2 linked regions of the Arabidopsis thaliana genome follow. The protein of the gene in region 1 interacts with the protein of each later gene in a biochemical or structural test. Each region holds a gene or a part of one and is shown on either strand. Other genes may lie near its edges.

Evidence for each region.
Region 2: the proteins of TCP24 (region 1) and ABAP1 form a complex in vitro, tested with the Arabidopsis thaliana proteins (one study listed by BioGRID).

The regions. Positions count from the first base shown.
Region 1 is NC_003070.9:10,628,871-10,632,802, reverse strand, and holds the start of TCP24 (TEOSINTE BRANCHED 1, cycloidea, and PCF family 24), read left to right. Parts: upstream 1-2,172; 5' UTR 2,173-2,231; intron 2,232-2,236; exon of another isoform or gene 2,237-2,422; 5' UTR 2,423-2,593; intron 2,594-2,992; 5' UTR 2,993-3,074; coding exon 3,075-3,932. UniProt on the Arabidopsis thaliana protein: Plays a pivotal role in the control of morphogenesis of shoot organs by negatively regulating the expression of boundary-specific genes such as CUC genes, probably through the induction of miRNA (e.g. miR164).
Region 2 is NC_003076.8:4,141,119-4,145,050, forward strand, and holds the start of ABAP1 (ARMADILLO BTB protein 1), read left to right. Parts: upstream 1-1,791; 5' UTR 1,792-1,839; coding exon 1,840-2,173; intron 2,174-2,413; coding exon 2,414-2,571; intron 2,572-2,739; coding exon 2,740-2,912; intron 2,913-2,992; coding exon 2,993-3,113; intron 3,114-3,188; coding exon 3,189-3,263; intron 3,264-3,342; coding exon 3,343-3,437; intron 3,438-3,538; coding exon 3,539-3,614; intron 3,615-3,755; coding exon 3,756-3,863; intron 3,864-3,932. UniProt on the Arabidopsis thaliana protein: May act as a substrate-specific adapter of an E3 ubiquitin-protein ligase complex (CUL3-RBX1-BTB) which mediates the ubiquitination and subsequent proteasomal degradation of target proteins.

The sequences.
Region 1 (3,932 bases):
TCTTACCATATACAATTGAAATTTCACCAAAATCATTTTGATAAGACCATTTACTTATGAATAATATGAACACAGAAAAACACTTTTATAAGAAACACATAATCTGGTCTAATTATTGTCAATGGTTAAGGACCCTTCGTTTCGTAGTACTTGACTCTTTAGCTGTTGAGCATGAAACTGACAAGTACAAGTGTAAGTGCATATAACAAGTATTGTTCTTGAAAACTTGAGTGATTCCAATTGGTTTTTTTCCTATTTTTGCATTAGAAATTATCTAATAATAAAACCATATAAAATACCATTTGTGTTATATTCTTAGTTCGGAAACACAAAGCAATTATGTTTAATATATTATACATTCGAACCACATAAGAGAATTAGAGATACATTGGACACTGGAGTAAAATATATATTTTTGGCAAAATAAAAGTGAAAAATTCGATGTGAACCAAAATATTCTGAATGTGCATCAATAAATGCCTTTGGACAGTGACACGTGCGTCGCAGTCTCGAGCCAGTCTCGAGCCCGACGTTAAAAACCAATTCTTCATGGAAGCACACAAATATTTATTTACACAATTCTGAAATATTACTTAAAGACATGTGATGTGATACAGTATAATATATGAACGCAACATATCCCTAAAAATGGAATGTATTTGGTTAGCCCAAAGTGGGTTTGTATCGACATATCGTGTGAGATGAGTTAAACTTTTTTGATATACTATAACATGAGTCGGAGAAAAAAAAGTACGTAAGATGATTCATATTTTGGAATAATATATGGGTTGAAACATTATGTGATGACTGACGTACGAGTGACGACATACTAGTATGCTATTTGCAAATATTTGCTTTATTTTCACTCACTGCATCTGGATGGAACTCAATTTACAAAACCCATGTAAATTTGTATATAATTTTCTTTGACATGTACTATTTTAATATTTTTGTTACTATTTTTATCTTTCTACAACTAATACATAACATTAGATCTATAAATTTGTTAAACTTTGCTTTATACAGTATACAAAAACGAATTTTGACATTGTTTCCCTATCAAGAAAATAGTCTTAATTAGAAAGTCGTTATTGGTCGGAAGTGTAAAGAAGTTCCCAAGTTGACAATAATTTGCTTACTGAGCTACCGAGGTTAGGGATAATCGTCCAGGTCTTATTGTGAAACATTATTTAGTTTTCAAAAATTATTTAATAATTACTCTTACTAGAATCATGTTCTTACTTTACATACCAAGTATTGATAGTTCACTTAGTTTCAAAGATTTCCTTGGAAGGAAGGTTGAGTATTTTTCCCCAAATTTGAGTCTTTACGTGGAAGAAATTAAATTGTTTAGGCTTTGAAAATACAATCAAAAAGTGGTTCTAAAGCTCAAAGCTTGTTTGTTACAAAAGAAAAAATTAATATTCTTAATTACTTTACTTTTATTTGAGAGTCATATGTTTGGCCTATCTTACATTAAATCCAAATAGGTCATTACCCATGATGGCAACATGTTTTAATTCATGATGTTTCTTTTTTCCTATTTCGGTTAAGTTTTGTACTAAAACCTCAACCATATCTAAGCAAACAAAAATATCATGGTTGGCGTAGGCCGAGTAAAAGCGTGCATCTTTTGCCACGGTTAACTCATAGTGTACTGACTAAATCGGACTCCCGCATATGCCCAACAAAGAAGTTATACAATTTGTGTCATGACCAATATTCATTGTATGATTAAGGTTACTGAATTTGGCCAAGAACCCCATATATTTTATCGCATGCAAGAAGTGAAGCTTCTGCCTTTGAAGCCCATGTGTCCACTTTGTCACCTCGAGAGTGTCTTTTCTTCACCATAGCATGAAACATTATGTAAGTTAGATGTTTCTTGAAAATGTAAATTAAAACAATATAGGCTATATTTGCATCAAGGATGTATGCTTATTCCTAGTTATATTGTCTTATCAGATGTAGTGTCATGAACCTTATTTATATGATTAAAACATACATTATACTTCAGTATAATTCGATTAATAGAGGGCAAATTGATCGAAAAAGAAAATAAAAGGGCAAATATTGATATTCTAATAGTTTAGTGGCAGAATTGAAAAAGGAGAAAGAAAGAAGGGTAAAAGAGAGAGAAAAGAACAGAACAAGGAAAGTACAAAATAGTCCAAACAGTGCACTTGTCTTCCCTTGTCCGAAGGCAACTGTTTGATATTTTTCTCTAACAGGTAATAAAACTCATATCTCTAGCCTCTCTCCCCATTTCCCATTTTCTGCTAATTTTCTTTCACTTTCTCGGCTGATTTTCCTGGGAAAATACTCTTTATCTAAACGTCCTAAAACACTACTCAAAAACGAATGTTTTTTTTATGTTATAACTTATATTTGTGTGACTATTTTGATATAACTATTATTGCAGATCTGTGGATCTTAACACTTCTCTAATGCTTATAATGACGAGATCTAAGCATGAGAAGGAAGAGATAAGAAGCTCATGACAAGAATCTGAAGAAAATTAAATTTGTTTTTCACTTATCGCCGCCATTGTTGTTCTACACTGAGCTTAGACAGTTGACACCTGTAATCCAAAGTGAGTTTTCTCTTAGCTTGTTGGTGATTTTTGAGGCAAACCCTTTATTTATATTTTAAAATCTCTGCTTTATTTAATGTATCAAGATTCTTATTTTGCAAACTGCCATGTAATTTAGGGCAAAGCTTCTAGCAAGAACAAAATCATTAGTCTTGTTCATCTTCTTCACTTAAAAATCTCTCCTTTAATTTCTGGGTATTTATTATTTTCACCAAAGCTCATAATCTTTAATAAATTCCTATAGGTTTCATAGGTTTTATATAATTAATTTAGGGTTTCTGAAAAAGGCTCTTAAGCTATAGGTCTATGAACATGAATAGATTTGGCAGATCTACAAATTTTTATTATTTTTAGCCTTTGAGCAGTGACTTTAATTTCTTCTTACTTTAATTTTTGCAGATTCAAAAGTTTATCACTGCAACATACTCAGGCTTTTTACTTAATTATCATAGCTCTGATAAAGTATGAGAGTAGCGTTACAATGGAGGTTGACGAAGACATTGAGTTACAAAAACATCAAGAACAACAAAGCAGAAAGCTACAAAGATTCTCAGAGGACAACACTGGACTAATGAGGAATTGGAACAATCCATCGTCTCGTATCATTAGGGTTTCACGAGCTTCTGGTGGCAAAGATAGACATAGCAAAGTGTTAACATCAAAAGGTTTAAGAGATCGAAGAATACGTCTCTCAGTTGCTACAGCAATCCAGTTCTATGATCTTCAAGATCGTCTTGGATTTGATCAGCCAAGTAAAGCTGTTGAATGGTTAATCAATGCAGCTTCTGATTCAATCACTGATCTTCCTTTGCTTAACACAAATTTTGATCATCTTGATCAGAATCAGAATCAGACCAAATCTGCTTGTAGTAGTGGAACATCTGAGAGTTCGCTGTTGTCGTTATCAAGAACAGAGATTCGTGGGAAAGCAAGAGAGAGAGCTAGAGAAAGAACAGCTAAAGACAGAGATAAAGATTTGCAGAATGCTCATAGCTCATTCACTCAGCTTCTCACTGGTGGTTTTGACCAACAACCGAGTAACCGGAATTGGACCGGTGGTTCTGATTGCTTTAACCCGGTTCAGCTGCAAATACCAAACTCTTCCTCTCAAGAGCCAATGAATCACCCATTCTCCTTTGTACCTGATTACAACTTTGGAATCTCTTCTTCTTCTTCTGCCATTAATGGTGGTTACAGTAGTAGGGGGACCCTTCAGTCCAATTCACAATCTCTCTTTCTGAATAACAACAACAACATTACTCAAAGGTCATCGATTTCTTCGTCTTCTTCTTCCTCTTCTCCAATGGATAGTCAAAGCATTTCCTTTTTCATGGCTACA
Region 2 (3,932 bases), on another chromosome or scaffold:
CAAAACAGTTTTTCGATAAATTAAAAATTTTACCATCCGAAAACTAGATTATATTTATAAAAAAATATTCAATTTGCGCTGCAATTGGACTGGATATCAAAAGAAAATTTTCAATTTCACCATATGTGTATGATTTTTTTTTTTTTTTTTTAGCGTTTTTAACTTTTTTTTTGTGTTTTAAAGATTACTCAAATTTGCGCTCCAAGTGGAACGAGGGCGCTCCAAGTGGAACGAGGGAACAAATTTAATTTTGCCTCCTAAATGAAAACCAAATTTTAAAGAAGCTACAAATACGCTAGAATTCAGGAATCACCATATGTAATCTCCTGGGTTAACCAAAGCATGTAGCAAACTCTTCTTATATTAATAAGATATTTGGCCGTAAAGAAAAAAAGATATATTGACCTTTGGTTAGATTAAATGGGCTTATGGTTTGATCTAAAGTTTGCGGTAATCACAAATAACTTTAATAATAACACGTTGGATTTTAATAAACAATTTTTCTCCATCGTAGATTTCTAAGTTTCTAATATAGATCTTTTGGATTCACCATTGAATAAGAACACATATTCAGACAAATCAAACCAAAAACCAATTAGACTGTTTTTTCATATGTGCCTCTTTTGAACCTTTTTTCTTAAATGAACAAGTCTAGGCTATACATCCCCTAACCAGGGACCATAAAATTTTATTTCAATTAGACTATTTATCTTGTTGAGCTTTCATTTTTGAACATTGATTTTATATATTTAGTGTTAGAAGAGTTACTAATGTTCTCTTATGTTTTTGTATCATTGGATAATATCAATATTATGAAAGATGACGTGATTGAATGTGTACAAATTGTACTAATGAGTATTGCCTAAGTAAACTTTTTTTTTATTGTCGATGTAAGTATTTTTTATATTGACAGATAAACAACAAATTAAATATCAAAATAATAAAAAATGTTAGAAAAGAGTTTATAGAAAAACTTATACCAATAAGTCAACCTAGCGTTACTAGATTCAAGCTCATTAGCAACATAAAGAATGGGAGCAATCTCAACAACAAGCGAAAAAGAAACAAGTCCACTTTTGAGGTAAAAGAATTTCATAATAATCCATGAAAATAACAATTGAATACATCATAGTTTTCAAATATTTCGCAAATTTGAAATTTCAGAGCAAATTTGAAACACACAGCAACAACAAAAAAAAGATTTTGGTTCTCATATTTGATTTTGACATTACATCGAGGTTAGTTAGACTTCTTTTAGACTAACAATGATAAATAACTTGTGAATTAAATGCAAGATCAACAGTTAGATGAACTAGAAATTTGGCATGAAACCATCAAAAAGAGATACTTAACTATATCAATAAAACGTGTTGATTACGTTATCATCTAGTTTATATGAATTCTATTAATAAATTAACAAAACATGGAAATTTTTTTTTTGATATATTTGTAGATCTATATTGAATATGTGATCATTAAAATCAAGATATCCCAATCCAAAACAATTTTTGGATGAATTAAAAAGTTAATTATCCAAAAGTTAGATTATATTTTTTAGAAAATATATTAAAATTTGTGCTAGGACAATATATCAAAAATAAAATTTTAATTTCACCATATGTGTAGGATTTTTATTTTTAGTTTAGCCTTTTTATTAGTGTTTTAATGAGAAAATAATTTAAAAATCTTTTTGACCAAAAATAACAAAAAAAATGGAAGAAAATAATAAATTCCCTCTGAGTGGAAGGAGGGAAATTTGGCTCCCAAATGAAAAACTAAATTTCAAAACCCCGCCAAATAGGCTTTGGTATTATAAAGAAAACGCTCTCTCCACTCCTGATGATAATCTCAAAATCGTTCAAAGCACCGCTCAAATTCTCCGTCAAATCTTCTACTGCGCCGGTGATATCAAACCATCCGCCAATGGAGAACCATCCCAAGCGCCAGCGAACAACACGCCTCGCCGCCAGAAACTTGAAGCGAAAACTCAGTCACAACACAGATGGAGCGCCAATCGTCACACAACTTATTGATATTGACGACGAACCCATAGATCTCGTCGTCGCGATTCGCCGTCACGTCGAGGTTCTTAACTCCAGCTTCTCAGATCCTGATTTTGATCACGAAGCTGTCAAAGAAGCTGCTGCTGATATCGCCGATTTGGCTAAAATCGGTACCGTACTTCTTCATTTTACCTCTAATCGGCGGCTAAAACTGAAAACGTGTTACTCTCTTTGCTTGTTCGTCCTTGAGTTGCTCAATTTTGAGTCAATTCTCGACAACGGATTCACTCTAATTTTGGATTCTACATAGAAATTGTTTTGTTCTTGCCCATAGTACTTTGATTTTCAGTAAGGCGAGACCTAGAAGTGTTTTTTTTTGGCTTAATTGATTTTCTCATCTGTTTATATAGATGAAAATGTTGAAATCATCGTGGAAAATGGAGCGATCCCTGCTTTGGTGAGATATCTGGAATCCCCTTTGGTAGTTTGTGGCAATGTTCCCAAATCTTGCGAGCACAAGCTAGAGAAAGATTGTGCTCTTGCTCTTGGACTTATTGCTGCGATTCAGGTAACCCTTCTTTCGCTGTTTTTGATGAAATTGTGGATGAGATGTTGTGTAATTTCAATCTCTGTTGGAAGTTAACATTAGAATTTTTGAAATGGGCGATTTGCAACTATCTTAGATGTACTTAGCTTGGATTGATGTATATTGATATTAGCTTTCTCTGTTAAATAGCCTGGTTACCAGCAGCTTATTGTGGATGCTGGAGCCATAGTTCCCACCGTGAAGTTGTTGAAGAGACGTGGGGAATGTGGTGAATGCATGTTTGCTAATGCTGTTATTAGGAGAGCCGCTGATATAATTACTAACATTGCTCATGACAATCCAAGGATTAAAACAAATATAAGGTACTAATATCTCATGATCCTTACTGGTTATGGTGATGACTAGCTGTTTTCACTTGACACCTTTTAAAAATGCTTTACAGGGTTGAAGGTGGCATTGCACCACTTGTTGAGCTTCTCAATTTTCCGGATGTTAAAGTACAGAGGGCTGCGGCAGGGGCCTTGCGAACAGTTTCATTTAGAAACGACGAGAACAAGAGTCAAGTATGTTTTTACTATGATTATGTTTTGTTTAGGCTTATGAAAGGCATGATTCTCACATAATGCGCAACTATGTAGATTGTGGAGTTGAATGCTTTACCCACACTTGTATTGATGCTTCAATCACAAGATTCTACCGTTCACGGGGAAGCGGTTAGTTCTTCATCTTGCTTTAGATCGTTGCAATTGGTTTGATTTGTTCAGTTCTTTCTAATGTACTATGGACTTTCAGATTGGGGCAATTGGAAATCTTGTCCACTCATCTCCTGACATCAAGAAAGAGGTTATCCGTGCTGGTGCCTTACAACCAGTAATTGGTCTACTTAGGTATGCTTATTTTACTTTCTTTCTACTTCTGCTGGAACAGATGCTAGCTCTTGAAATTTTGAATTATGTTTTGTAACTGTTTTTCATGATATCTGCTACAGCTCCACTTGTTTGGAAACACAGAGAGAAGCAGCATTATTAATAGGTCAATTTGCTGCGCCTGATTCAGATTGCAAGGTATGGGATTGTCTCTTTCTTGTTGTACTATAATATTAGCACATGTTATGTTCACTCAAACTCGTTTTTTTCTACGATATAACTGAATGGATTCTAACTAGAGAGAACATATTTAACATAACTGGCAACATGATCATGCAGGTGCACATTGCCCAGAGAGGTGCCATTACACCACTGATTAAGATGCTTGAATCATCAGATGAGCAGGTCGTGGAAATGTCAGCTTTTGCTCTTGGTCGTTTGGCTCAGGTATATATGTTTTTGAATTAGCATGTGAATGTTTTGTTGCTTTTAATATCTGACTCTTTGTAGATGATT